Linked DNA regions of Struthio camelus. The protein of the gene in region 1 interacts with the protein of each later gene in a pairwise test. Links are inferred from orthologs where the notes say so. Each region holds a gene or a part of one and is shown on either strand. Other genes may lie near its edges.

Region 1 (7,728 bases):
CAAATCTCTGCTATGATGCTGAGCAGCCTTGTGGTGGTGGGCAGGAGGGGCTTTTGTGAGTGTGCCTGGCCCTCCCTGCACTGCTCTGGGATCCCGGCATCTCTGGTCAGGGAGGTGGCAAACCCCAGGGCCCCAGAGAGGTGTTTGTGCCCGTGTCTGGGTAGGGAGGGCTGGGGGCCCTGCTGTGCTCTGTGGTGTGATCCTGGCCTGGGTTCATGCTTACCTTGTTTCCTCGGGGGATGTGGTGGCTTCCGTTCAAATCTGTCTGCTCTGGCAGGGTGCTATGGTGTCCTGGGGGAAGAGAGCCTGGGGCAAGGGGTTGGTATTGGGGAAGTGCTGGAGACGCTGTGGCCTGGGGCACACTGTAGTGGGGCTCACAGCAGTCAAACAGGCATCTCGTGAGCTTCTCTGAGCCATACCACTACGGCTGTATCCGCGGGACCCTTCTGGAGACCTTTTCCTTCCTGCAGGCCAGCCAGGAGGCAGACAACGTCCTCATCCTGCAGGACAGGAAGCTGGTGACGGGGCCTGGGAAGCGGTACCTGCAGGTGTCCAAGAACCGTTTTGATGGGGACGTGGGCGTCTTCCCCCTGGAGTTCAGCAAGGCCTCGCTCACCTTCTCCTCCGCTGGCAAAAGCAAGGTCAGGCTGAAGAAGATGAGGGAGGAGAAGGCGCCTTTATCCAAGAAAGCTCCAGCTGGAAGCACGGGGTCTTCCAAGAAGCCTTGAGTCTGGCTACTCCCTTCTTTGGTCTGTCAGGAGGAACTGGGACTGGTGCTAGCAGCATGGGGCTGGGGTATGCCAGCCCGTCTCCACCAGGAACGGCAATAACGTGCTGCTGTTTGTCCTTTTTCCTCCTACGCAAAGAGGCCTCTTGGCTGCAAAAGCAATCTCACTGGGAGAGATGTGAGGGCCGTGGTGGGAGGACGAATGGGATCCTGCTGGAGAAGAGGAGCCTTTTTCTTGCTGTGCTGCCTCCCAACTGCCCAGGGATGGAGAGCTGGGGGCGGTCCTGGCTCCCTGCAGGCTGCCGCTGGCGGAGGTGCTCCTGGTGCAGGGCAGATGCTTTTCTGTGTCCTAGACAGATGTTTTTGCAAATTTTGGTCACTTGATCTTGGTGCTGAGTGCTGAGAGCGTGGAGTGGGCCATGGCTTGGGTGAGGGCCCAGGGGCAGTAACCTGTAGCCCTGGGGCTCTGGGCTTGGAGCATTTTATTAACGTGCTGCTAAACTTGTTGGGCCAAAATTCTGGGCCATCGTCGTGGACCCCACGAGAGGCCGCATGGTGGGACTGCGGAGACCTCCTCCTGTCTCGGATAGGGATTTCAGGAGTGCTGTGCTCGGTCCTGACTGGGATGGGGTCAGCAAGAGGGAGGTTGTAGAGGGATGCTGAGGGATACTGTGGATGGCCCTTGGCCTGGGGTGCCTGGAGCTGGATGGTCTCTGCTGGGAGCCTTGTGAAGCCCTGACAAAGGTGGGAGCTGCCACCCCCATGGTGGTGGCGCCTGAGCAGTGAGGATGGAAATGTGGCAGGTTGAAGGCAGGGTTTGCTTCCTCTTCTGCTGGCCAGCAGGTGGGATGTGCAGCTTGCCAGCTCTGCCTGCTCGACTACTGCCCTTTGCCCCAGGACGCCCTGGTCTACCCTGTCCTGTCTCTCCACTGTGGGCATCACCAGCAGTAAAACCCCTGGGGGACCCCCCCCGGGCTTGGCTGGAGAGGGGTGCCAGCATTCTGGGCCAGCGGCTTTGGGCAGCCCTGGAGCCAGGCGTGCGCTGTGGTCTCCCCTCCTCTTGGCCCTGCTTTCACCCAGGGCTTTGAATGTGGCAGCAGTGGTCCAGAGACTTTTCAAGTCCATCCCCAGGGACCCTCTTTCAAAGCGTTTAGTGGTGAACACTGTGACCTGGCTGGTCCTTGCCGTGGCAGGAAGAGTCCACGGTCGGATCTTGGTCCAATCCTTTTGTTTTCCTTTATAGTTTTATTAAAGCAGAAATCTGAGTGCTGTTCCTATGCTGCTGTCCTTTGCTGCCTGTGATCACGTCACCCTTTGGCTGGGGGGACCCTGGTCAGGGAGGCGATGTCCTTGAGGGGCCCTTGCCGGGCTGGGCATGTCTGCCCCACAGGGAGTTTCCAGGGCTCAGGCTCAACTGAAATCTGCCTGTGGGCCTCAACAGCACATTTCTGCCCCCGTTCAAATGGGGACTGGTCTGCGTTTCCTGGGTTTGGAGCCTAGGGACCAGGTTGGTGCCATAAACTCCTGGGTGGAGGAGGACAAACAGAGGGACAGGGTTATGGGGATGTCTTGACAAGAGATGCTACTGACTGGGACGCATGCCAGAACATCCCACCCTAAAGATAAGCAGCGAAAGGAGAGAGGCCATCGATGGGGCTGGGACCTCCCTTGGGTCTGTTCTGTCCAAGGTCCCTCACCAGCCTCTTCCACCCTCCTTGGAGGCAGCACGATGGGCTCTGGCGGGGAGGCCTGGCCATGCCTGTCCCCTGGACTTTGTCCAGGAGAAGTCCCTGCTTTCTCCCCTCCACCCCCTCTCTCACCCAGGGCAGCCAAGGGGGCAGCGGCTGGCCCGGATGCCCGGGGAGGTTAGCGCAGGCAGGGAGGAGGGTGCTGGCTGGGGCTTGCCCACAGCTCTCCCCGTGGTCACAGCCCATCACCGCCGTGTGTTTAGCCCGGCACGTGAGTTATTATCTGCCTCCGCACGGGGCATAGTTTTAACCTGAGCCATAATGAGGGGCTGGGGCGGGCAGGCGGTACACACCCAGCTGCTGTTTTCTGGGGTGCACCAGCTCCCTGGGGCTGTTAAAGCACCCTTGGGTGCTGTTGGCGCAGGCATCGGGAGCCTGAGGAGGGAGTTTGGCTAGGCCCCCAGGACAGGCCAGGGGTGCAAGAAGCAATGGAGGAGGGTCTCGGTTGTGGAGCAGATCCTGGCCAAATGGAGGTAAGGTGGGGGGCAGCGGGCTGTTGGGGAGGGAGCTGGGGCAGAGCTTGGCGGTGTTATGGTGTCTCCTGTGCATAAGGCGCTGTACAAGCACCACAGCCAGGCCCTGGGCAGGTCTGGTGGCATCACTGCCCTGGTGGCATTTCTCCCCAGTGCCAGGGTGATTCCAGTGAGGATTTGTGTGGAGGCAGGCAGGTGCCAGGCTGGGGTTCGGGGCATCCACGCTCAGCCCAGGTGCACCCATCCAGCTCGCTGGCCTCAGTTTCCCCTTGATCCAGCCAAAGGACGATGCTGTTGGGGGGGGGGGGGGGGCTGCAAGGTTAAAGGACTAGGAGTGGGGCAGACCTCACAGGACTATGTTCTGCGCAGGGTGCATCCTTGCACCCTCCGAGCTGGGGCAGCAGGGCACCCTCAGGACCACCGTCTCCCTCCTTATTTACCCCTCAGGGCTGGGAAGGGGGCGGTGGAGCCGAGCCCTGGGGGCAGGGGGGTCCCAAGCAATGGGACCACTGGCCTTGGGAGGTCCCAGCCCTCCTCCCTCCCAGATCCGTCAGGGACCCCCTGGGTGGGCGATGTGTCCCCGGGCGCCTGCCGGTTGCACCTGCTCAAGGGGTGCCCGCCGCTGAATCCAGCCCCGCGGCTTTCCAAACTGCTGCTGTACTGATTTTCTTTCTCCGTTGTCTCCCAGTTTGGGAGCTCTCAAAGAGCGGGTGGGAATAGCTGCAAAATCCCACCCACGGTGGGGGGCAAAACAGAGACACGGGGCAGAGCCCGGCCACCGTTCCCCTGGACAAGGTGCTGGGGGCACCCCAAACACCTCTGGGGGACGACTCCTTCAGGGCGGCTTTGGGGGGTTTCCGGGGGTTTCGGAGGGGCTCGCCCAGGCTCTGGGGAGCCTCTGGGGAGCCTGGCTGGCCGAACGCGGGGTCGGCCCCGGGGGGGGAGCTGCCGGCGTGAGTCCCCTCTCGGGGCTGGGGCCGGGCTGAGCGGGGCGCCCCAGCCGTGGGGCACCAACAGAGGGCCACAGCCCCCGGCACTGCTCCCCACCCCACTGACCCCCACCCCGCAGCCCCCATGCAGGGCCCCCCACTGCATGGCACCCCAGCCCCGTAGGCCCCATACAGCACCCCCGCCCCACCGTGTGGCACCCCCCCCCCCCATAGCCCTCATATAGCACCCCTGCCCCATAGCCCCATGCAGAGCCCCCCAATGCACAGCACCCCCGCCCCATAACCCCCACACAGCACCCCCATCCCCATGGCCCCATGCATGACCCCTCACTGCACAGCACCCCCGCCCCATAGCCCCATGCAGGGCCCCCCAATGCACCCCCGTCCCATAACCCCCACACAGCACCCCCGCCCCATAGCCCCATGCAGGGCCCCCCAATGCACCCCCGCCCCATAGCCCCATGCAGAGCCCCCCAATGCACCCCCGCCCCATAACCCCCACACAGCACCCCCGCCCCATAGCCCCATGCAGAGCCCCCCAATGCACCCCCGCCCCATAACCCTGTGCAGGGCCCCCCACTGCACGGCCCGCCCCCAGCCCCATACAGCACCCCCGCCCCGCCGCGCGGCACCCCGAGCCCCACGGCCCCCCCCCCCCCGGCCCCCGCCGCGCAGGGCGCTCCCCGGCCCGGCCCGGCGCTGCTGCCGGCGGCGTCGCTGCCCCGCGCCCCGTCCGTAGGGCGCCCCCCTGCCGGGCTCCCGCGCCGAGCCGGGCCGGGCCGGGCCGGGCCGGGCCAGGGGGGCCGGGGGCGGCGGGCGGGGCCTGGCGCGGGCCGGGCCGGGCCGGCGCGGAGCGGAGCGGCGGCGCGGGGCGAGCGTGAGTGCGGGCTGGGCCGGGCCGGGGGGCGCCGCGGAGCGGGGCGGGGGCCGGGGGGGCTCTGGGGGGCCCCGCGGGGGGCGGCGGGGGTGGCAGAGGCCTAGGGGTCCTGGGGGGGTACTTTGGGGCTGTTGTGGGGCAGTTGGGGGGAGCTATGGGGCAGCAGGGGCCCAGGTGCTCTGTGGGGCACTTGGGGGGGGCTGTGGGGCAGCCGGGGCCTAGGGGTCCTGGGGGGGCCTCTTGGGGGTGTTATGGGGCACTTTAGGGGCCCTGTAGGGCAGCAGAGGCCCAGGAACTCTGAGGGACACTTTGGGGGTCCTGTGGGGCGCTTTGGGGGGGCTGTGGGGCAGCAAGGGCTTAGGGGTCCTGGGGGGGCCTCTTGGGGGTGTTATGGGACAGCAGAGACCCCAGTGCTCTATGGGGCACTTTGGGGCTGTTGTGGGGCACTTTAGGGGCCCTGTGGGGCAGCAGAGGCCCAGGTGCTCTATGGGGCACTTTGGGGGTTTTGTGGGGCACCTTGGGGGGGGCATGGGGCAGCAGAGGCCTGGAGGTCCTGTGGGAGCACTTTGGGGAGGTGTTGCGGGATGGCAGAGGCCTAGATGCTCTATGGGGCTCTTTGGGGCTGTTGTGGGGACACTTTGCAGGTCCTGTGGGGCAACTGGGGGGAACTATGGGGTGGCAGAGGCCCAGGAGCTCTGTGGGGCACTCTGGGGGTGTTATAGAGCAGCAGAGACCCCAGTGCTCTATGGGGCACTTTGGGGGGGTGTCATGTGGGGCTCACTGGGGGGTGCGGGGCACTGAGGGGCAGGCAGGCAGCAGTGTGGGGCAGCTGTGAGTTGCTGTGGGTCGAGGGGACGGAGCTGTGGGGCAGGCGCGGGGGGGGGGGTGTGGGGTCGGTTGGGGGGCACTGCGAGGGGCGTGTGGGGTCTGAGCCCCCTCAGAAAGGTGCGGGGGCCCCGAAATCTCTGGTGGCCCGAGGTGGGAATCCCGCGGCAAGGCCGGGAGCGCGGCGGGGATGAGCTTCCCCGTGCCTGGCGTTTGGGAGCCGGAGGATCCTGCTTCCTTGTGCTCCCACCTGAGTTCGCCGGCAGTGACGCCGGCCCAGTTACTAACTGGTTTTACTGGGGAGCTCAGAGCTGCCTGCCGGCCCGCTCGGCGCCGCCGGGGCGTTTCGCAGGCCGCGCTCGCCGCCGGCAGGCCTGGCGAGTCCCCAGCTGAAAGTTTCCGTCCTCCAGAGGCCCCGGCCTGCCGGACCCTCCCTGGAGGCGGATCGGAGCTTGCGGGAGGGTGAAGAAGGATCCCTTCTCCGCAGCCGCAGCTCCCGGGATTCACGGCGGGGGATGCGCGGTGGGGTGGCACCCCCAGGGCTCCCTGTCCCAGGCTGGGAGCTGATCTGCAGCCGGAGAGAAAAGGAGCCGTCGGGCTCTAGTGGTGGCCTTGTCCCCTTGGGGGCTGGCAGGGTGCTGGGATCCAGCTGCAGGACAGGGCAGGGGGTTATGTTTAGCAAGGAGGGGTCCGGCAAAGAGTGGGAGGTGAGGCGGTGTGAGGTGCCCACGGGCTGGCTCCCCATCGCCGTCCCCTTGCCGTGTCCCCTACTGAGTGCAGGGAAAGGAGCCGGAGGGGCTGGTGAGGCAGCGCAGGGGCTGTGCAGGAGTTTCCCAAGCGGGATGTCGCCCACAGATCACCATGTTTGATAATCCCATTCTTGGGGGGTGGGGGGGTGCCAGGACCAGCATACTAGACCCTGGCATCTTTGGCCATCCGCTGTGCCGCGCTGGCGCTGCCCGTCCCAGACCTGCCGGCCGGAGAGCTTTGGCAGGGCTGGAAATGGTGCTGGGGGGCCTGGCAGCTCCTGAGCAGCAAGGAGCCCCGGCTGCAGGGCAGGGCCGGGGTCAGCCCTTCGCCTGGCTCTGCTGGCGGGGACGCTGGGCCCGGGATGACCGAGCCCAGCTGGAGGCCCTGGGCACAGCGGCCTACGCACGCCCCGCTGTTAGCCCACGGCTGAGCGCGCAGGGCTGTGCCAGTCAGCTGGCATGGCAAGCTGGTTTCTGTCCTCTGCCATCCAGGAGAAGGCGGGCAGGTGCTGATGCATGGCCCCAGTGCCCTCCCTGCTTTCCCAGCCCTGTGGCGGGGGTACGGTACCACCGGTTTGGGTGGAGATGCTGGGTAGGGTGCAGATGGGCAGGGCTCTGCCTGGCACCTCTGCAGGGCTTGGTAGCAAGCATGTCAATTTGGGGGAGTGGGTGCAGGACTGGTCCTTGGAAGCTGCAGGGGGTGCAGTGAGCCCCCCCATCTCCCTTCGGGCCCTGATGTGGGGTGATTTGGGAGTGGGTGCTTTTTGCACCCTGACCCCCTCCTCTTTCTTTTTCCTGCTGCAGGGGGTGACTGAGCTGTGTTCGCGGAGCAGGGACCTGAGCGGGCCAGACGAATGGGCAGCGACTGGCGAGGTGAGCGGAAGGCCGTCACCCGCACCCCCGTGGCGGCAGCGCTGGGGCATCGGGCTGGGTACAGTGGAAAGTCGCCGTGCCCGGGGAAGGCACGTGCCCGTGGTGGTGGAGGGGAGGGGAGGGTGCTGGCAGCCCGGCCCCTCCTGCTCTGCCCTCCCCGCCTGCTTGCCCCCTCGGGCGCTGGCAGGCGGATTGATTTCAGGTGACAGCTCAGCAGGCGAGACCATGCGGGCAGCAACCCCCCTTCCTCGTGCCCTGTGCCAGCTGCAGCCATGTGCGAGATGCGATGAGGCAGCGGGGGACGGATCCGGCCCGTCGGCTGGCTCATGTCACGCGGGCGTATGGTGTGGGCCGGGGAGGGGGGGCACGCACCGAACGCGTGCGCCCAGGGCATGGGCCGCAGGGCAGCAACAGGGGCACTCGCAGAGCCCCCAGACTGGAGAGGGGCAGGCAGCGTGCTGTGGGATTGGGAAAGAGCTTGGCAACTGCTTTATGCCCTGCTCGCT
Region 2 (7,158 bases), on another chromosome or scaffold:
TCACATGCTCTCCAGAAAACTGGAAAAACATTCACAGTAAAACAAGTCCAAGAACACAATACCTGCCAAAACTTTGCCAAAAATACCTCTCAACTTTTAAAATTATAATAATAAATCTGTATTTCTACATAATCTGTCCAGCAAGTTTCTCACAGAACAACTACTTAGGTAACTTCAGTACCTTCATTAAAAGAAGCTTTCAGATATGTTTATATAAATAAGTTCAGGGCAAATAATCAGTTCCATTATTATTATCACACTTCATATTGTTTGCTAACACTACTGAATAACACGTCTCTTTATTGTAATTATTACACAAGTTCTTTCTACATAAGACTTTCAAAATTACCAATTTTTCTTATAATTTATTTTTAAGCATAGCATGAATCTTCTTTTTACAAAAAAGGTCATCTTGAAACCAGAAAAACCCAAACTGGTTCTTTCTCTTTCTCAGATTTATATAGACATGCACAAAGCTTCTTCCTCTCTGAATCTACAGACCATTTCTCTTCCACACTCACACCACTACAGTGAAACTCCCATGTGTATTCCATTATCCCAAAGATAGTATTTGTAATAGAACAGTTCTTCAGCTAGAGTAGCTAACAGAAAACACCTGAACATGTTCTGTCAGCGCTCCTGAACGCCAAGCTACCCCGAGCACTTCTGTTGCATGCTAGTGCTCTCTCTCTCCCTAGGTTCCATGCTGGAATCTGGCTGGCTTGTACTGCTCAAATATAAATAAGGCTCTGGATGGAAGGAAAAAAAAAAAAAAATCTTCTGGATTCACTGCCTTGTCAAAGATTTCACATTAGGAAAAGCTTTTGGAAGTCAGAATTCAATTGGTTACTCCACCAGTTGTTTCTCACGCAGAGTATTTATAGAAATAAGAATTTTTTTACCCTGTACGTCAAGGACTTCATTCTACTTCCAGTTAAGTCTTCCCACTGATTCCAAAGGGGTGGGCTAGTTAGTTGGTGTATTAAGAACAGACCAGAAAACACAGAAATTTCATCAGCATCCTCAGAAAAAAGGTCTGCCTTAAGCAGCTCAAAAATTTACTATGACATCGGGGGGGGACCAACTGTGCAGTATTTAAGTACCACCGGTCCTTCCAGTTTGACATTTAGATTTTTCAGGCTCTCATAGCTTTTTACAATAAGTTCAGTCTCCTGCTCACCCGTTGCTCTGAAAATGCCAACACAAGTAACTTCTAAGTTTATGTACTACTATTAGCGGTGTATTTATTGAAAGTTTACAGTTTTTCCCCCTCATTTATCATGCTCTGAGGGGCCACAATAATAGCACTTAAGTTTTAAGCCTGCAGGAAACTGTTTATTCACAGGACTTTTCTCCCTTTTAATGCTACAGTTGAGACCACAGACACATTTCTATTTGAAAACAAAATTTAAGTCTATAAATTTAGTTCCGAAGTTAAGTTTTAAGTCACTTGTAGTCCTATAGCTATGAACATAATTTCTCTCTGAAATTCTACTGAAGCTTCAGTTTTTCCAGTTCACTCAGCTTCACATCAATGCAATCATTATAATGTGAATTGGGCATTAAAACCTTGAATATTCCTGTAGGTTAATACTAACGACTACACCATGGGTAAAGCGTGGCATGGAACGCTGCTGCACGATTGAACACGTTCTCAGATTATGTACAACTACTGTGTTGTTTGAGCTACAGAGAATGGCCAGTTTCCAGTCATTCTTTCGCAAGTGGTGCTTTAAAGATAACTCACAATCTTGAGGAATGTCCTGTTTAGAAGACAGTGAGAGAAGGAAGAGGGAAGGAAATAAGTTTTCATCTACCATTACCCAGCATTTCCATTTACCTATATCTAACCCCGCCACTATTTAAAACATAAACAAAAATCAAGGTCTCCAAAAGCATAATCCTAACCTTTATTCACCTAAAAATATCTGGTGCTTTGGTGTAAATATAAATTCCACCACAAATGCCAACTCTGTAGTCCAAATACTGCCCCCAAAACTCCTCCTACAGGAGAACTGCTGAGGTCCCTTGCAAAGAAGGGTAAATAATAAGCATGCTTCAAACTCAATAAGTGAAAAACCCTGGAGGACCCAGGAGATTTCAGCAGCGTTAATGCCAATAAGTGTCCACACCCACAATGAAACGAAGCACATTTAGAATAACCCGGGGAGGTGGGGGGAGGAAGGTCCCACAACTGACAGGTATGAAAGATGAGAAACAGGAAGGCAGACAAAGACTAGAGGATTCATTTCTTTCCCCTCCCCATCGTCCTATCGTATGGTCCGAGAAGTGAAAGCTAAAACCGAACGATGCCCTCTCCTGAAGGATGAGAAATACAGGAGCCCAAGCGCGGCCTAGCCGAAGGCCTGCGCCACAGCTCGCCTCAGCGCCCCCAGCCCTGTAAAACGGAGCACGCTGTGACTTGCCCTCGCCTTGAGGGCTCGAGAGCGACGGCTGCCCCCAGCGAGGGCTGCTCCGGCCCCGCAGGCGCCGCCGCCATTTGGCGGCCTGTCAGGTGCCACCCCCGGGCCGCGGCCGCGTTTAACTACAGGTGTCCTCGACGCACTGGGGCCTCCCAGCACCGGGCTCCCCTCAGACTGCGCTAACTGCCCCACAACAGCATTTTCACCTCTTTCTAATCGCTTCCTTTGTTGCTTTCCAGCCCTCCCACCAGGGAAACAGGCTGCAGCAGCGGCGGGGGTTAAACACGGCGGCTTTCAAGCGAGCTCCGCGCAAGCCGAGCTGCCTCCCCCCAGCTGCCCCACAGCCCCCTCCTCAGGCCTCGCCGCCCCCCCCCCCGCCTTCGCCCCCAGCCCCAGGCGCCCCCGACCCCCCCGCCTGCACTCACCCTCCTGGAATTTGGGCTTGGGGTCCTGCTTGGGCGCCATTTATAAGTGACTCTCCCTCCTCCCGCCCCCTCCCCGCGGGGGCCTCACCACCTCCGCCGCATTACGCGCGGCCGGCCCCAGCCCCGCCGCGCCGCGCATGCGCGCCGCAGCCACCCCGCGGCATGCTGGGACTTGTAGTGCGGCTCGCCCAGCCCCCCCCCCCCCCCCGCGCGGCTGCGGGCGCAGCTCTTTCTCAGTCGGACTGTCGGTTAGGGGCTTCATGGGAGCCGCTGTTGCGTGGCTGTGAGAAGCGGGATGGGGAGGGGGGGAAAAAAAAAGCTGCGCCCAACGTGGGGCTCGAACCCACGACCCTGGGATTAAGAGTCCCATGCTCTACCGACTGAGCTAGCCGGGCGCCACATTTGAGCCTCTTCCTCTGCCGTAGTGAAGAGCGCGGCGGCGCACCGCGCCGCCCTAACTCCCTCCTCCCCCCTCACCCCGCGCAAGTCCAGCGCTGCCGGCGACTGATCCTCCACGCCGCGGGGGGGCGCCCCGGTGGGGAGCCGCGGCCGGGCCGCTCTGCTGCCCGCGGCGCCTAGCAACGTGCGCGCGGCGGGGCCCGTGAGGCGGCGGCGGGGCCCGTGAGGCGACGGCGGGGCCGCGGCCTGGCCCGGCGCCCGCCCGTCCGCCGGCGTTGCTTGAGCTGCGCTGCCGGGAGGCGGCCGGGGGTGCGAGCAGCTCCCGCGCTGAGCGGAGCCGGAGCCCCCAGCCGCGGCGCGGATGCTCCCCTGGCGCCGCCTGCCCTGGTTCCTCTCCGCAGGCCTTTTACGTTGCACCTGTACGACGACGAGCGTTGGCCGGTCCGACGCGTTTGAACAAACATCCTCTGTTTGTAGAGGCAGATGAATGTTTATTATTTCTTTTCCCTGCAAAAAGGTTTCCTGTGATCGTTTCATCTGTTTTCATATTTTAACCAAGGTCGCTTTAAATAAAGTAGCCCACCAAGGACAACCGAAATGGAGCAGCACAGAAAGTGAACTCCTGGGAAAGCTGCCGGGTTCTTCAGTACAGCCTGGAAATGCGAGACAGTCTCCAAAGTCGTGTTTTTTCAAGAGATAAGCAAAAAAATATTCTGCGTTTCTACAGGGAGCTTCCTTTATTCACTTTAGCATGCAGGGGTTATGAACACACGAGAACCATGTTAGTTAATCCCTGTATAAATAGATACCTGGTGTAGCCGTGCTGCGCTCTCCAGTGTCCAATGAACGGATTGTGATTCTTGCGTTTTCCACGAGGCGGCACACTCGCTGAAACAGAGCACGTCCACGCCGATTTCAAGATGTTATTCCTGAAAAACAAGAAGTCCAGCGTGGAGGGGGACGGGAATGGCTCGGTGTTCCCAGGCCCGGCTTGAGGCTTTCCAGCACCGGGTTCTGGCTCGGCGGAGCTGCGTCAGCTGCTGGGTGGAAACGTGCCCTGAGTAGAAGCCAAGCTAACGAAGTCGCTACAGTAATTTCAGGGGGAGGAGGAGAGCTGTCGAATGGTCTCCGACTGTGATTTTATCAGCCCCAGCTCTGCACCATACCACTTTGTTCACAACACCTCAGCACATTGCCTCGTGGCTAAAGAAGAACAGCTTCTCACTGGTGTGAGGCTGTGCAGTCCCACCCTGCCTTGGCCTGCGGGTGCGCGGCGGGTCAGAGGCGCTTCAGAAATCCCCATAAAGACTGGGAATGGCTCAGCTGTTTGCGCATTACTTTATTTTGCTTCCCAGAAATGTGTTGGTTCCTCATCTAAATACACATATCCTTTCCAATGTGCGGATGTAACTGCTGTGTTTCAGTGCCCCTCCTTGGAAGATATTTGCCAAGTAAAAGGCAAAAGTGGCCTGACTTGCCGTTTCTCTTTGGCTAAACTACTGCAAACACCGCAGCACGTGGTACGCCAGTCGCGGGGTAGGACTGTGTGCCTTGTTGGAAAGCATTCAGAGCCATTCAAGAGCAATTGTATTTAAATGACAGCATGCTTTCAGAATCGATCTTTTTCCTCTCTAGTGCTTGCAGAAGACACAAAATGCCTGATCTTGGGAATGGTGAGTCAGATGGACGTTAAAATAATGGCGCATCCACTCCCCTGGGCTCTGTGTGCCCAGATCACTACAGGAAATCACAAGAGCGCAGCAGTGGGACAGCCTCCAGCAGGCCCAGACTGTGTAAAATATTCTTACCTGCGTTTCGCCCCATGCAAAAATATATTTTGGGATGTATTATGGCTGAGTTGCGCTCGGAGTTGCCTGCGCTTTTAAGAACTACTTCATTGAAAAAACGTCAGAGCGCCACATAAGGAAGATGGAACAACTCTATTTTCATAAACCTATTAAACCTCACTCACAGGCAGTCTTTCAGAATGCACTTATCTGAAACTAAACACTCGGTTTTGTTATTCTTTAAACATTTTACTCTTCTGGCTTAAATAGATAGGACTAGGTGGTGAGTTCCTGAAGTGCAGAAGGAACAGGCAGAGGAAATGCTACAAATAGCGTATGCCATTAACAACAATCAGATGTATTTAATGAGGAAAGGACTCTAATTTCCTGCAGTCCAAATGCCCTGCCAAGGAGTTATTTAAATGGAACCAAATTATCCAAGTTTTATATTTCCCATTCATTTTATCCAGAAAAGAAAAAAACTACATAAGAGGGGAAAGCCTCAGACTTTATACCTTAGGTATTTTTAGCTGGGAAAATGACATCCTAAGTAAAGCATCGAAGAAGTGACATGTTTTTCATTGATATTTTGCAGAACTGCCGTGAGATGGGGGTGAGAGGCAGCAGTCCCGTGGACGAGCTGTAGCCGTGCAGTTAGCAGGCGGGAAGCACGGAGAGATGCTTTCTAGCAAGCTAACAGGCTTTCCTCCAAGCGCTGATGCTCACTGCAGAGGTTTTGCTGCTTTACACCGCACAAAGACCTGGATTGCTAAACACAGCACGAGGAGCAGGCAGAGAGCTCTGTTACTTCCCTCCAGCTTATGCTACATCTGCATTTGATGAGATTTGAGGAACGAACATCACCTAGCGCAGCGCCCACGTAAGTTCGGCTGCTGACAGGATCAAGGTGTAGGGAGGAAAGGCTTTGGCAGTGGCAGCCTGCTCCTGTCTCTGTGGCACGTTGCATAAATTCTCTGCTTTCGGACGGGCGCAAGGCCCTAGAATCTCCTCCCGAAATGCCAGAGTGAGAGCTCTGCCCATGCCTGGGTGGTGGCTGGGTCTCCTCCGGCTCTGGCGGAAACCCCAGGGGCCCGCAGCTGGCACACCGTGGCTCTGGCCACCGTCCCTTGCGCGCCCGAAGGACGCCTGGCTGGGAAGAGGCGCTGCGGGTCACCACAGCCGAGGTAGCTGAGGTTTCCGTGCACCCTGTCAGCTCCTCGTGATTTATCCTGCCATGGTGTCACTGCGGTGCCACCGGGGTGGACTCCAGGCCCGGCCTCAGATGGGGATTTCTGCCCCGCCGCAGAGGTGGCTGGTGCAGGGATGAGGGCCCAGACCCAGCGCCTGGACCCGAGGGGGACCTGGACTGGGGGGACTTAGGGACATCTGGGCCTGAGGGGGACCCAGGAACAGGGCTGGACCTGAAGGGAACCGGAGGGCACCTGAGGGGACCCAGACGCAGGGAGCACCCGGACCCAGGGGCAGGGCTGGACCCAGTGGGGCCTGGACCCAAGGGGGGCCCGGGCCCAGGGGGTCCTAGAACTGTGGGGGGACCCTGACCTGGGGGGGGGACACCCTGACTTGGGAGGGACCTAGACCAGGGGGACCTGGACCTGGGGGGGAACAGGATCCAGGGAGGACCCAGACCAGAGGGGGACCCGGATCCTGGGGAGACCCTGAGATGAGGGGGACCTGGAGTGGGGGGGACCTGGACCTGGGGGGGACTTGGACCGGGGGGGACCCGGATCCTGAGGGGATCCTGACCTGGGGGGGGGGACCCAAAACTGCGGGGGGACCTGGATCTGGGCAGAACCCGGATCCTGAGGTGAGCCAGCTCCTGGGGGGGACCCAGATCCTGTGGGGACCTGGACTGGGGGGGGGACCCGGAACCTGGGGGGGACCTGGAACAGGGGGGACCCGGACCTGGGGGGACACTGACACTGGGGGGACCGGACACGGGGGGCCCTGGACACGGGGGGGCCCGGACCCGCGGGTGACCCTGTGCCTGAGGGGGACCCTGACCCAGGCGAGCCGTGACGGCCGGGCCGGGGGGCGCAGTCCAGGCCGCGGGGGGCGCAGGGCCGAGCCCGGGCCGGGCCGGCCCGGGCGGGAGGAGGCCACGGG
Region 3 (7,086 bases), on another chromosome or scaffold:
AGTAGCCAACTGTGGACACTAGCTAATATTTGAGAGCACAGCCTGGTGAAAGGGTCCACCAGTATGTCTGGCCAAATGCACCTTGCTGAAAATAAAATTCCCATCACAAATGTCACCAGAGGGGAATCCTGCTGCCAGTTTTCACAAGAGACAAAATCGAATTGACTAAGAAATCAAACTACTGTGTCTCACCTGCAACACTGACAGAATGGGACTGAGGGACTTGGAGAGAAGCTGATAAAGTTACACTACAGGTGCCAGAACTCTAACCTTTTTTCTGTATCTGATGGCTTTCTGTGGCAGTCAATCTGCATCTTCGTGGAAGTTGGACTTTCGGTGGACTTTATTCCTCTTTCCTCCGAGGGCTTTGCTTTGGTGACAGCTGGCCTGATTCCTTACTGCTTTGTTCCTTTCTAAAGAGATGTACATAGTGGTTTAAAGCACTGCTGTTTGTGAGTAACATCATCTTATGTACTCCCTTATCCTGTTTTTGCTCAGGGGTATGAGATGGTTCCTGCACCAGGCAGTAAAAATGACACCTCTCTCCTTTATGCTTACTTATTATTCTCCTCTAGTAAACGCATGAGGGTCTAAACAGGAATAACACCTTTTGCATAAGTGCCAGTTTCATCTCTTTCCTCTTAGGGGAATCTAATTGTGCTCATGTACCTCTTTTGCAGAAAGGTGTTCAGATATCACAAAAGGAATGTCAGTACCAGAAAATGAACATGAAGGAATGTGGCATTGGCCAAAACACCGACGCCAGCATCATCCTGTGACTGTGGAGCTCTACAGCAAGTAGGACTTGGCAATATGGATTTAATGTGCATTAATAATCAGAGCATACACACATGGTGTCACGAGCTCTTGGACAATGGCTCTTTGCAGAAGCCCCTGTTGCCCCATCTTTGCTGGATGGTGGTGCTCCATGTAGACTAGATGAAGTTAGTGGGGGTGTTTTACAACCCTACTTTCATTCTGCTGCATAAAAACAGAGTCGGGGCAGGGAAGCAGGGGAGAATTAGCGGTGCCTTATCACGCCCCCCCTTCCTAGCACTACCTAAGGCAGCATCACCTTATCATGTCCCTCCCCCCAGCACTGTCTAAGGTGGCATCTGCCTCTGCTCCTGATCGGAGCAGTTTCTGCCCTATCTGTGCCACAGCTCCCTCCATCCCGAGGACCACTGGGCCAAGTCTTCTGGCTGTAGCCATTTAAGCCTCAGTGCAGCTGAGGAGGGGGCTTACTGACATCCTCCTGGAGCAGTGAGGCACCCTTGACTCAATCTGCAGCAGCCACTGAGGAACAACTTCTCAAGCCCCAGCTCGGAGAGATGCTCTGTGCTGCCACTCACCACCTTGGCACGTGCGGAGGGAGAGAGCGCGTAGCAGAGCACCCATGCAGGCAGCTCTGCATCACCCTGCAGGGCAATTCTTGGCTGCAACTCCAGGCAGCGACAAAGCGCTTTAATATGGTTAAACAGCTTCAGCCGGAGGCTGAGAATCTGGTCTCATGTTTTATTCATCCAAATTCCCTTTCCCCACTCCAGAAATCTACACTCATCTCTTTGCTAGCGAATCTGTTCAATTTCCTCTCGTTTAGCGCTGTGCTGCAGCGCTCGCGTTTCCGCCAAGTACTTTCACTTAGAGGCTGATCGGCACTAATCACAAGTCCAACTTCTCAAGAGTGACACGTGGGAGAGAGAGGGAAACGTAGGTTCATCTAACTTCATCAGTCTGTTTTGTTATATTGACTACTTGATTTTCAGTAACCAGCTCTTGTGCAAGGAAATAAAAATATGAGAAATCCAGCTTCTTTCCTTTTTTTTTTCTTTTCTTTTTTGGTAAGATTTTAGGTTTGACTCATATTTCCCAGGCTGATTGTCAAGTAACTGACAAATCAGTCATGGTTGACAAGTGAGTAATTTGGAGAAGAGAGGGGGTGCAGCAGGTGTCAGAACTAATTTGGTAAAACAAAAAAAAAAAAGAGTAGAGAGTGGTATGATAGTCATTTACACAGTCATGACGTTGCGAGCTTTTCATAAAAAATGTGTGCCGGATTTTACAACACTTAGAACGTTAACTGTTAACCAGCCACTTCAGCTCCATTTCAGAAGTGACCTACAAGTTCACTGTTAGAAGATGTGTTTGAACCTCTTACCATGAAAGACTGGTTCAAAACTCTCTTGGGGAACTGGAAAAAAAAACAAATTTCTCACACTGCTGGGCTCACAGAGTAGTTCTTGCAGCAGGCAGGCCCGGTGCCCTGTCCCTCAACCACAGTGCGCTAGGCAGGACCATCAGGAAGGACACCATCGCCCCAGCTGGAGCATTCAAGCACTATGGCCCTGCCAAGACCTCTGCGGCTCACAGTTGCCTTAATTCCCCCAAACTGTGAGTCTGAGCAGTCCCTGCTCATTGCTAACAGGCTAGTTTTATGGCAGCACCTAAATCTCTCTTGCTAGGTGGAAGAAGTGAGATCTGCAGCTGGGAATTCCTCCGGCTCAGAAGGGAACTCTCTAAGATTTTGCTCTATTTTAAAAATCACACCCTTGGAAATCAATTGATTCACTCTCCTGCTAAATCCACCATTCTCAGCTCTGTATTTCCTTGCTTCAATCTCAGTTGTCATTGAAGCTGCCTCAACGAGCGACTGGTGTTCTCGTTCTGATCCCCGTGATGGTGCTAGTGACTGCAGGCCAAAAAAAGGGTTGTGCTGGCAGACACCTAAGATGCACTCTTGCTCTGAAGTGGCTGTACAAATAGCATCACGGCATTTCGTGTTTATCGTCTGGTAAAGACTTCAGTATCTTATATGCTCTGTCTTGGAGAAAAAAAGCTTTTTTTCCCCATTTAACTGCTACTCCTGGAAATTCACTGGGGATTCAAAGAAAAGCTGTGTTTTCCAGGCCTCTGCATAGCTACAAAGAGTATAGAGGCTGCAGGACAATTTCTGCTCTGACTTTCATCCGTATAACCCATACTGTCTTGAAATCCTACCTTTCCTTTCACCCGTGGGTTGTTTGGGGCAGAGGGGGCCTGCGAGGCAGCCACAGGCAGCAACCGTGTTTCTAAGGGATGGGGCAAGAAGAGAGCCTGGTACCCAGAGCTACCAAATCTCTCTGGCTCAAACCTCAGCAAATCACCTCCAAATATACAGCAGTCTAGATGTACAAAGCAAGAATTTTTTTTCTGTGCACCTTTGAGAACAGAAGTGCAACTTATTGGAAACCCGTGTTTGGGTCGCTTTTTTATTTTTCCTTTAAACGAAAGGCCAGGAGGCATCTCCTCCAGCTGCATGGAGCAGCTCCTGCTCTGCAGAGCATGCATCTGGTGAGGAGCGCGTCCACTTAACCATTTGCACACCGCACCTAAAGTCAGGTAGGGAAGAGAGGTGACGTGCGCCTTTGCCGTGGATTTAAATCAGTGGAAAACTCGGGCAGGAGCCAAGCCAACATGCAAAGTTGTGGTGACCTTCCACCAGTCAGCCCGTGGCCCCAAGCGTGACTGCCGGGTGCCACATCCTGGCCAGCCACGGCCCTCGGGGGAGCCAGCAGGCCCTCCTCCCCGGCCACCTCGGCTCCAGCGCTGCCTGACGGAGGGCGATCCTGACGGAGGGCGATCCTGATGGAGCGCCATCGCTATGGCAAGCTGCAGGTATAGGGATTAGTGCAGCTCCGGGGGGGACCCTGGTCGGGTGTGCGCGCCCCACTCCGAGCAGCACTCCCCTGCCCGCACTTCAGTGTGCTTTGGGGAAGGACGAGCACGTGAAGCGGCGTCACACTTTGCCAGGGTTTTGGTGGCGGGGGGGAGGTGTTTGGCCTTTAGAAACATGGGGTGGCTATGGTTTTTAATAAACTCTTTGTGGGAGAAAGTGAGGGAACGCTCCTATTCCTCCTCTGTTTGTAGAGCTCTTTTGGGAACACATCAGACTTGTGAGAATATAAAGCTGCACTTCAAACTCTGATGCCCTCCGCCTGAGTGAAAGGTAAAAACGCTTGCAAACCTCATGCACGCTGCGTGCCTCTGCGCCTGCACGCGTGTGTGTGTGTGTGTGTGTGTGTGCACGCGCGCAGCACTTTCTTACACTACTATGACAGCACACGCTCCTGCAAAGCTAGTCAAGGCTTTAGCAACACAACTCCTCCCTCCGGTGCCCCGTGCGGGCGAGCGGCTCGGGCGTGCTGCCTCGGCTCACTCCCGCCTGACCGCGGGGCTGCCCGGCACGACTCCGCTCGGGGCCTGCGGGCTTCGCGCGGAGGAAAGGAGGACCGGGAAAACGCAGAGGCAGGCACAGGACTGACCTACGGCGCCAGCGGCGACTTGCTCCCCTTGCAGCAGAATTACATCGGGGAGGAGGGGAGAGGGAGGAGGGAGAGGAAGAGGAGAGGGGGAGGAGGAGGAGGAGAAGGGAAAAAAAAAAGAAAATCCAGAGAATTCCAGGCTGGCAAATATAGTGAAACAGCATGATCGGGGTTCATTCGCTCTAGAAGAGCAGAGAGGAGAGAGGACGTTAAACCGAGAAGAGGGAGAAAGGTCTGTGGCTCCTTTCCCGGTAGGAGCAGTGTTTCAGAGGTAAAATGATTCCCCCGAGCAGCGCGACTGAAGTCAGCGTGGACACGGTGGAGAAGGAGCACGAAGTGGAGAGCACAGAGCAGCCCCCCTCTCCGGCATCGACCACCAGCCAGGAATCAAAGGTATTGAGAGAACAAGATTTTTTTCTTTTTTTTTTTCCTTCCCCCCCTCCTCCTTTCTTTGCTTTATAAAGAGATGTGTTGCTTTGATTGCTATTTGGAGCCCTGTGGCAGGGTGTGAAATAGCCTGCTATAAGCCATCTCCAATCCGACAGTCATACTTCTGAACGCTTGCAGGTCACCTGGGCGGCTCGGGGCTCTGAACGGGGAAAAGACCTGGCTTTTGAGTTGTTGGGGTTTGGGGATTTTTGTTTGTGTTTTCCCCTCAGTATTATGGGGGGGGAGGGAGAGTCAGGGAGGGGATTGCTTTCGGTTGATATTTTTAGCTATTTTCACACTAGGCATGCATCCCTTAGAAGCATCTGTTCATAGTTGGAAAGACTGGTTTTCTCACAGGCTCAGAGAAGAGAATTTTGTCTGGAGGGCTGGGGTGTTTCACCTGCCTCACCCCCTCCAGCAGACCCGTCAGTGAACTTTTGCTGTTTAGCAAGCCAGCAGTTGAAACGGGATATGAGTGATAATTTTGGCAGAAGAATCTGTATGTACGCCACTCAAAAAGGATTTTTTTTTTCCTAGCCTCTTATTTACTCATTAATTATTAAATGTGGTTCAATTCTCCTTGCTGAAAGCCAACATCCAGCTCAAATGGTGTGGCTTCTAAATTTTTAATTGACTTGCATATGAAAAGTTTTTCTGCCAGCCGGTATGTTACTTGGAAAAAAGAGAAAGGTAACCGAAGAAAATTAACCTTTCAGAATGAATGCTCTTTGCAGCTTACCTGGATAACGTACTTTTCTTATCAGTATCATGCTAGCATCTGACAGCCCATCCCATGGACCATATTCCTAGTGATGCTATGTGCTGTGCAAACATGTAAAAATGGGGAGGTCCTTGTCACTAAGAGCTTACAGCTGGGCAGTGCCTTGGGAACTACTGTGTGAACTAAACAGCTGCTTCACAGAGGTGGTTCGTGTTGCCCGTCGTTTAAAGTCTAACGTAGGAAGAATCTACGTTATTCTGAGTTATAACGAGGTTTCTGTAGAGTGCGTTGCAATAATCTGTCTGTGTGGGTAGAGTTCTGACGTGGGGTTCGGGATCTTTTTTTAGATGCTATACTCCAAGGAAGAGAGCTAAGGTATTCCCTGTGTAAAACAGGCTCTTTAAAAGAAAAGAAGTCTCACAGCATCAATAGCATCCACTATTCACCATACACATTCAGCACTACCGGGATATTGCTACGCTCTTCCTTGATAATGGGAAATGACAACTAAAAGGGTTATTTGTTTAACCTCAGATCCCCAAAGGATCCAATAGGTCAGTACCCTACCTCCCCCACAAGGAGCACTTCCCTGGAGTTGCAGAATTGCTATTTGCCCAGCAGGAAGACCATCCCTGTGCTGAGGTCCCAGAAGTGAGTGGAGCCTCCACTATATGGCCAACGCCACTTTCTCAAATGTGCTGAGCTGTGCCCAGGGCTGTGCAGGCTGCACGCTCCCTTTGCTGCGACCCTTGCTCCCGTCCTGGTACGTGGTCATGGTGCTGGAGGTACCGTGCTCATTGTGAGACTGCGACAGTGTGCTTGAGGGACTTTCCCACCAGGTCACCAAGCTCTGTGCCCAGCATACATTGACCAAAACAGAACTCCTAAAATAAGAGAAAGCAAAGTGCAGCATGCAAGATTCCTTTTGGCTGCTTGCACAACCAAGGCACTCACAAAGATGACAATAGGAATTAGGCACATCTGGCAGTAAAGAAAGAGATTACTCACTGGTTTATAATCAAATTTTATTATCCTCGGTTTGGCCAGTCTTGTGAGCGTTTGAAGTGATGCAGGGGAACAGGCAAAAGTCTATGACTGTCTGTGCAGATTAGTTGATACTATTGCTTGCATACAGACATTTTCAGTAAATATATAATCTGTGTATTTACATTTTAGGACTGCAAATATGATCAGAAAGCATGCTGTATTGTCATTTCCATAGATGGACTCAAAAGAGGCTTCTGATCACTAGGGTAATGAGATTACGTTTGGTTTTTTGTTTCTTGCAAACAGGAGGATGGAAGAATTCTCAGTGATTTTGCAAAGATGTTGTTTGTGCTGTTTTTTTCCAAGGGAACTGATGTACTTCACAAGCCAGAGGCTTTGACACATACATAAGTCAGTGTGTGCCAAGGGCCTGCGTGCAAGCTTTTATCTCCCAGTGCCCCTGCTGAGGGAGCTATCCTGTCATTCATAGAGGACTCAGCTTTCTTCAGGTACCTCTCTGTTGCATAGGGGAACAAGTCCGTGTCCGCTGCAGCTACTGCAGAGCAGTTTCAGCAGTATCTAGTTACTATAACTTGTTTCTGTGGCAAAACACTATTATAACTCCAAATATAGGAATATGGATAGTAG
Region 4 (7,995 bases), on another chromosome or scaffold:
CTGACCGTCCTCTCTAGACAGCCGTACGTGCAGCGGCAGGACGCCTGGAGGACTCTGCAAACCCGCAAGGGTTAGGGCACAGCGCAAAGGGCATCGGCGTCTCGGGCGTGTTCCAAAGAACGGAGGTCTCCTGGCGCGGGGGGGTCTTGTTCTGGACGCCCCTTTCTGCCTCTAAGGAAACAGCTTCCTCTTGCACACCTGCCTTTGCCATCCCGTGCAGGTCGCAGTTATAATCAGCTCCACACTAACTGCTTACATCAATTGAACAGGGTTGGTTAGAGGATTTTTTTTTAATTGTATTTTTTCTTAACTGGCAACAGTCCTAGCAGAAACGAAGTTATACTAGCGAAAAGTGCTCGTGCTTGCGTAGCTTATTTCATGTGCTGAACTGGTATTGGTATCAGTTACAAGCTGGCACTAGCAGTTTCCTGCTGTGATAGGACCTCGGTGCTAGGCTGGTTTACTGTCATGCCAGCAAACTTCTTCTGCTGTAGCTAGGCCTTGGATTACAAAAATTGACAAAATATGAGCAATCAGAAATATTTCTCACCAGATATGCTCTCTGTTACTGTATGCCTTTCACCCAGTTTAGACAATTAAATGAGAGCTGTTAGTTTCACTTTTATTTATTGTTAAGTTCAGTTTCGAGTTTTTCTTCACTTGTAAAAAATACTGTTGAATTTAGACTTAAGTATACTAAGGTTACTAATGCTTTTGTCTTCATCTACAAAGCACTGCAATTCGTGAATTTAAAAAGGAAGAAAAAATTTCCATTTGATTAAAAAAAAGGTTCTACTGAATTCCTAAGATCATATATTTTAGACCTAGACCCGTTTAGACCCCGATTCCTGCAAAAAAAGTCATGCACTTTGCTTTAGACATGTGACTACTGCTCTTACGATCATTACGGCTACTCCTTCTGTTGGTGATGTTTAGCACATGTCTTTGCAGGAGCAGAGCACCTAATTACATGTCCCCATAATTAACGTTACGTAAGAGGATCAGCGAAAGACAAATGAGAATACTGCGAAGGAAAGTCTTAGCTGTATAATTTTGCCATTGTTGCAACAAATTTCTAATTCTGTCACTGTCGCCACTCAGTTTGTATTAGCCCCGCAGCGGGGAAGGAACTAATCCCTGGGATCATGAGTGAGAAACCAGAGGCTGAAATTAAAAATGGGGAAGTTTGCAAATGAGCACTGCGCAGTTTTCGGGGAAGGACGTGGGCACTTCTGACATGCGAGGCCCTGGCAGCGGTAATTTTCCGGGGGAGTAAAGGCCGCGAGCCGGCGCGCTGGTGGGAGGGCTCTGCTAATTCTGTTTTCCCTAGGCTAGTTTTGCTTTTGCTGTGACTCATCTCAGGACATGGAAAAACCCACAAGTTAAAACGGAAGTAAAATCGGCGCAGGTAAACGCTCTCCGTGCCGCCGGGGTCGGCGCCCGGGAACCGAGCTGGCTTTTGGGCGGACTTCAGGCGCTTTGGTGCCGCCGCGGCCGCGCAGGGGCCGGAGCCGGGGCCGGGGCCTGCGGCGCGGCCGCCGGGCGCGGGGGAGGCCCGGGCGCCGCGGGCAGCGGCGGCGGCGGCGGCGGCAGCGGCAGCGCCCGGCGCCGCCCCGGGGCCGTCCCGCCGCGCGCCCCCGAGCCGCCCGGCCTGCGTGGCAGCCGCGAGCGCGCGTGCCCGCGCGCGCCGCCGCCCCCTCCCCCAGCGCGGCCGGGCCGGGTGAGTGGGGGGGCGGCGGGGCCGCGCGGCGGGCTGGGCGCGGGGCCGGGCCGGGCCGGGCCGGCGCGGGCGCGCGGGAGGCGGGAGCGCGCGGCGAAGTTGTGTCCGGGACGCGGCGCCGCTCGCTCGGTGCGGGGCTGTGGGGCCGCCGCCGGCTCGGGCGTCCGCGCTGCCCGCCCCGAGGGGCCGCGCCCGCACGGCCACGGGCGCTCCGCAGGTAAGGGGCCGCCCGCGCCGCAGCACAGCCCGCCTCGGCGGGAGGGCCGCGGGCCGGGCCGGGCCGGGCCGCCGGGCCGGGGGTGTGCCCGCCGCGGCTGCCGGCCGGGAGCTGCCCGCCGGCGCGGGGAGGCGGCAGCCGCGGCCGGGCCGCCCGGGCGGGCCGGGGCGCCGCGCGGGCGGGCGCGCGCAGCGCACCTGGCTGCCGCCGGCCCGGCCCGGCCCGGCCCGGCCCGGCCCGGCCCGGCCCGGCCCGGCGCGGGCGGGCGGGCGGGCGGGCGCTGCCCGGCCCGGCGGCGGGAGGCGGAAGGCGAGGCGAGGCGCGCGGGTCCCGGCCCGAGCCGCAGCGCGCCGCCCCGGGGGCTCCGGGCCCCGCGGCGCCTCGTGGCCGCTCCTCTGCGCGGGGTGCCGGCGCGCTCGCTCGCTCTGCGGCTAGCTAGCACGTGCCTGGGCAAAAGTGAGAAATAAACGGAGATGTCGTCAAAACTAGGACAAATTTGGATCTTACTCGGTTGCTTTCCAGAGAGGTGTTGTTATATAGCGTTGTTTTAAGATTTTAGCAAAGTTAAAATACTGTAAAATAGGAATACTTGCATAGTTTTGTGTGGTGTATGTGTGATGACACTTTTTTCTTTTTCCTTCTTTTTTTCTAACCTTAGAAACAGTAGTGCTGCCAAACACTCATGCCTTAGCTTAGTGGTTCCCATACAAGTTCCGTTTGCATGCCACTCTAAGTGACACTGCCATATGAAAAAGGCCCATTATGTCCTTTTTATACGTTTTTTTTTTCCTTATCTTTTCTATGAGATTCTTTGTGCTCTTGTGTTCTTGCAGCTCATGAAAAGAACTTTACAATTCTTTGGGAGTCCCTAGACTGCAATTTGAGAACTTTTCTTTAGGTGCTTCGTATTTTTCATCTCTTTTGTCTGCCAGCTCCTGATGTCCTCCTGAGCACTTTACGGGAGAGGAGCATACATATTCTCAGAACGCTTTATTTTTTGTTATCTTTAAAAAATAGGAAGTCTGAAATAAAACCAGTGCTTCAGGGATTACAGCATTGCCTTCTAGAGAGAGTATATGCTGTTTGAGTTGAACTGCAAAATACCATTTTCTTCAACATGTTATTCACTCCAGAGTGCGATAGATACTTGTTGAGAATAATGGTGGACTTTGGAGCTCCATCTGTTTGTCTGTTCACACACGCAAAATATTTCTGCCAATGATAATTGCCTATGGCATCATTGCGCTACAAGTAATTTGATGGGAAATATTGTAACAATTAGAAGTCCAGTGATGCAAGTTCCTGACACATTGTGAATGACTTGCTGTCATTTCTATGTCTCCTTTAAAAATTCATTATTGTGAATCATTGTAAGCAACTGTTTAACTTGCGGCATTTATACTGTTTTCATGTTTTGATACATCTCTTGACATTGAGTCAAAACTCTTTCCGCTGTTACTTTTTTCCTGTCGACATTCTCTGTGACAGTCATATTCTTTTAAGCAGCAACAGAAAAAAGGAGGAAAAAAAAAAAAAAAGAGGAACTTGTCTGAGATGTGAACGTTGCTGCCCCGTTTCCTATGGCTTTATGACTTAGACGCATAAAAATGGGGGTTGGGAGGAGAGGAACTTCTGTTATGGTGGAAAAGGAGCGAGCGTCTTCTGTGGGAAGCGAGATTTCTAGACTGGATGTGAGTGACGGTTACCACCCCAAGAGGAACTTGTCAGAACAGAATGAACATTTTCCGCGCGTACAAAGCACTTTTGTTTATTTTGTTTCCCTGCTGCCTCTGGAATTCTGTTTCTTGACAAATGTGTGCTTTATGAGAGAGGAGGGGCACATAATTTGAATATGAGTTTTAATATATATCTTTAAATTACTTAGTATGTATTTTGTTAAGAGAAAAACAGGTGAAATTGAGTAAGTCACACTTTAAACCCATGCTGGGAACCGGACATATTTTGTAATACCTGCCTCTTATGATCCTGCCCAAAAGTTTTAATGTCAATATGTAATACTTATGCGTATATTGATATTATTGAGCCTGTATTGACTCTTTTCTTTGCTCCTAGTAATGGAGGCTGTGCCACAGAAAATAGTGGGAAACCCGGAGATTTATCTCACAGCATGTTTTCTGGCTTTATTCAGACCTAGCTGTTTGTCTGAAGGTCCCTTTAAATGGCTTTGAAAAGTTTTTTTTTGCGTGCTGAATGATCTGTTAATAATTATTTGTTCAATGAGCAATTTTTTGAAGTGGGGATAGGAGCAGACATAGCTGACTTTATGCATTTTCTGCCTTCTTAGCTGTAAAATCGGGATAGTTATTAACAAATTGACCTCCACCTCTGAAGGTGTGTACGCTCTCTGTAGAGGTGTAGGAGATGAGTTGGTGGATATATTTCACGTTTCCTCCTACTTTCTGTGCTGTCAGATATGTTTAAGCTCCAAGTTATGGAACATACATACTTAAAAAACAACATGGCAATACAGACTAGACAGTATGAACTGCAGCAGTCAGCAAGTGGGGCAGGCAGTAAAAATTAATGTATTCATTCCAAATTTAAGGCAAGAAAATTGTTGTTGGAAGAGAAGGAGAAGTACTAGATAAAGATGCCAAAACCTGAATGATAGAGCTGGGCATAATTATAACATCTGGGGCTTGATTTTTTGCTTTTTTCCTAAGTGAAAGCCCGGTTGGGATACCCACTGTTACAGAAAACAGGTTTAATAGCTGGACTTGGGTTTTTAACTTCTGTCCTTCTAATTCACTTTTCTTAGATGCTCTTGCTATGGAAGAGAACATTCATAGCAAAGAAAGCCGTAACAATTGCCTTTATCTTTGGCTAATGAGCAAAATAAATAAATGGAACCTCATTTTAGAAGTTTTTTAGTATTCTTTTCTTTTACTATTCTGATATTTAGTATTATTAAAATTCAACACTTATCTAGGTGAAAAGCAGCCATGATGCTATTAGAGTTTTGAGCACAGAATTAAGATTAAGGGAGTCATGAATATGTATTCTTGCTCTGACACAAACTCCTGCATTTGTCTTGGAAAATGACCAAACGTGTCTATTTTACCTTTTATGTGAACACTGGTGACTGCTTCAGCATGCACCTATCCGGACACTCTGCTGGGCTGTTTGCAGGAAATTGTGCGGTACGTGTCTTTGTATCCTGGTCAAAGGCAAGAAGTCTGTGACAAGCAGTGACCGTTATTATGCGATGCCGTTCATACTGTTGCAGCGTGCTGAACGAGAGGTGTGAGAGATGGATGCTGACTGTAAGAAACTGGTTTCAAACGTAGTATGTGGAGACGTTTGATTTGAAAAATACTCGTCACTAACAGCTTTCAACTTGTTTCTGCTTGTGAAAACCCTTTCAGTCACTTTTGATAGTGAGTAGCTTCAGCATAATGTTTAGGATCTTAAAGGACAGAGTTCATGAAAAATGTTCCGGTGTATAATATGATTCAGTTACAGTTAGAGGTGTCTGTGGAACAGACTTATTTAGAGATAGTAGCAAGATATACGTGTATATATATGTAAAATATATGTAAAGAAATAGATCTATATATCTATATATTTTTGAGGAGCAAGTCAGAGGGATTCTCTCCATTGCTATCTAAACATGATAGCGTATGTAGAGTTTGTCTGAAAGAGGTTACGTTATGTATCTACTTGCCAGACTAAGAGAGTTCTTTAGATTCAATCAGCTGTTTGTTTGGTGTCCTAATGTTTGGAGAAAAGTACTCTGGGAATGATCTAGGAATCTGACTTCTACTGTATTTAAATTGCCTTTTCTTTCTGCTTCTGTGTGCACCAAAAACATTCTTGCAGTATTGAAAGCAAACTTGCTTTCTCAAAAATAATTCATGTTTACATTGATACTGTTTATCACCAAAGGCCCTAGAAACATGACTTTCGACATGGAAATGGTGAGCTACTCTGCTATTGGTTAAAAGACAGGCATGGCGGTAGAGGAAAATAAAAATGTTTTCAGTACAGCTGTGCATCACTAAGCTGAACACTTGAAAAAGAAGTGACCTTTTCCAATATAAAATCATATGAAAGTTACTTTTGTCCATTTTAGATAACCTTTAAAACTTCGGCCTTTTAAAGACTGAGGCCTTCAAAACAGTTTCTTCTGTTATTAAGTCTCATTAACTCTAATATGTTTATAACAGTCAGCCCTTCTCTTGCAAAGTTTATAGTACGAGCACACGCAAGTACTTATCAAGTTCTTTGTGCTTTTCATCACTAGATCTCTAAGTGCCTTAAAAGATAAGAATAGATTATCTGCAAACTGAGGATAACAGAGTTAGGAAGGTTTGATATGTCTCAACATCCCGCCGAGTGACTGGATGGCTGAGCTGATACAACAGCTTGATGCTACCAAAAGGGACAGTTTCTCTTACTTTCTCTGTTTCCCCTGGGCCAGTGCTGGCACTCATCTGACTTTCAGTGAGCTGCTTCAGCAGAGTAAACTGGCATAAAACTATGGAAGAAAAAATGTCTTGGTTAAGCGAGGGAGTTGAACCGGTTTACCTTCTGTACTGCTGAAAGAGCGATTGCTGTTTTCCCTAGCTATGCCTCCTCCTTTCCCCAGAGAGGAATTGGTCCACAAAGGGAGCAAAGGACGGACGCAAAGGAGGGATGAGGAGGTGCACCTGGAGAGCTAGGCTAGGTCCTGTCAGTGGCCACAGTTTGGTAGATCAGCTCAGCTCAGCACGAGGCTCAGCACGAACATGCTCAGGCCCCAGTGTTGAGAAGAGGCGCTTGATCTGGTTTCCTGATTCAGTAATCTGGCCTGTGTACGCTGCTGGGTGCAGATTTTAGAATACCTTTTCAGAATTCCTGGGACAGTAGTTGTACGGTCTCTAGATGGGAGAGCAAATTAAAAATGGTGAAGTAGAAGTCCAGTAAGTTATATAGGTACGTGGTGCAACGTTTGCCTTTTAAAGGTCACCGTCTTTAAGGGCATCCAGGCTGCAGAAAGCAGACTGCTGATGCCACTTTTTTCAATACTATAGATACTTAACTTATCTTCTAGTAGAGCTATGCTAAGATGTTTACAAGTATCTTGGATTTTGATTCTTGAGCAGTGAGACATAGAGATGATGCATGAAGAAATAACAGTACATTGGATATCAGCATGGATTTGCTACTATAAATTGCAGCAGCCTCTGAAATAGGCTCCCGAAAGGAAGTGGTAGGATCCCCACTAGTGTTGAGTTTGGGCCAGACAAAGCAGCAGAGGATGCTCTTCAGGGAGCGCTAGTCTGCTGGCAGAGGAGCACGCTGAGTGTGATGTAGTAGATCTCTTCCATTTCTGGATTCCATGGTTGACTTTTGATTTGCACCTGAAGTTAAAAGGAGAAAAAAGTGTTGAAACAGAGAGGTAATGTTGGACTTGATTAATTTTTTTTTTTTTTAAGAACTTGTGTGCAAAATCTAGTTTAAAAGTATAACTTTTTTCATCATATTGAGATTGCTGCAGTATGTCTAAATTGCATAGAAAATTAAGTCCTCCAAAATACTTGTTTGAAACTTTCTTAAAGGGTTTTTGATTTTATTTAAAGCTAGATTGGAAGCTGCTGTCTTTCATCAGCTGGAACGTGGGACATGGGAACAGAGGTTCTGTGTGAGCTGTGATTAAATGGCCAGGTCTAGAACTTGTAAGCTCAGCTCTATTTAACAGGAGAAAACCATGTTTGTTTGTTTGTTTGTTTTTTAATAGTGGTTCAAATGCAGCAGTCCGTAAACCTATCAAATCTTTATATGGATAGGTAGGTCTTTTTCTATCTTGGATTATTTTTATACACACATTGGATTGGATCGGATCGAGAATACTTCAAATTCTAACCTGTGCTAAGTATTTAAACATCTGCGCTTGCTCCAGTTGCCGTAGTTCTGCATGTGTGAGAAGCCTTTTGAGTTGTATTCTTTTTAATACGTTTAAAAATGTTTCAGAAACAAACTACTTCTATTTTTTTAATTAAAAAAAGATGTTCTGTATCATTTAGCTTCTAGTGTTTAATCATATGATTTAATTTAT

The links.
Region 2: the proteins of LZTS2 (region 1) and MORF4L1 interact in binary tests that used the Homo sapiens proteins (3 or more experiments, as listed by UniProt). The two-hybrid records come from large-scale screens. The link is inferred for Struthio camelus from reciprocal best matches to the Homo sapiens genes LZTS2 and MORF4L1.
Region 3: the proteins of LZTS2 (region 1) and STAC interact in binary tests that used the Homo sapiens proteins (3 or more experiments, as listed by UniProt). The two-hybrid records come from large-scale screens. The link is inferred for Struthio camelus from reciprocal best matches to the Homo sapiens genes LZTS2 and STAC.
Region 4: the proteins of LZTS2 (region 1) and NEK6 interact in binary tests that used the Homo sapiens proteins (3 or more experiments, as listed by UniProt). The two-hybrid records come from large-scale screens. The link is inferred for Struthio camelus from reciprocal best matches to the Homo sapiens genes LZTS2 and NEK6.

What each region holds. Positions count from the first base shown.
Region 1 is NC_090948.1:15,894,041-15,901,768, forward strand, and holds the start of LZTS2 (leucine zipper putative tumor suppressor 2), read left to right. Parts: upstream 1-4,719; 5' UTR 4,720-4,775; intron 4,776-7,153; 5' UTR 7,154-7,222; intron 7,223-7,728. Other genes in the region: TWNK (twinkle mtDNA helicase), read left to right, coding at 471-728. UniProt on the Homo sapiens protein: Negative regulator of katanin-mediated microtubule severing and release from the centrosome. Required for central spindle formation and the completion of cytokinesis.
Region 2 is NC_090953.1:1,357,403-1,364,560, reverse strand, and holds the start of MORF4L1 (mortality factor 4-like protein 1), read right to left. Parts: upstream 3,006-7,158; 5' UTR 2,889-3,005; coding exon 2,849-2,888; intron 1-2,848. UniProt on the Homo sapiens protein: Component of the NuA4 histone acetyltransferase (HAT) complex which is involved in transcriptional activation of select genes principally by acetylation of nucleosomal histones H4 and H2A.
Region 3 is NC_090943.1:53,929,505-53,936,590, forward strand, and holds the start of STAC (SH3 and cysteine-rich domain-containing protein), read left to right. Parts: upstream 1-4,072; 5' UTR 4,073-4,577; coding exon 4,578-4,694; intron 4,695-7,086. UniProt on the Homo sapiens protein: Promotes expression of the ion channel CACNA1H at the cell membrane, and thereby contributes to the regulation of channel activity.
Region 4 is NC_090961.1:1,652,682-1,660,676, reverse strand, and holds the start of NEK6 (serine/threonine-protein kinase Nek6), read left to right. Parts: upstream 1-4,981; 5' UTR 4,982-4,996; coding exon 4,997-5,098; intron 5,099-7,995. UniProt on the Homo sapiens protein: Protein kinase which plays an important role in mitotic cell cycle progression. Required for chromosome segregation at metaphase-anaphase transition, robust mitotic spindle formation and cytokinesis.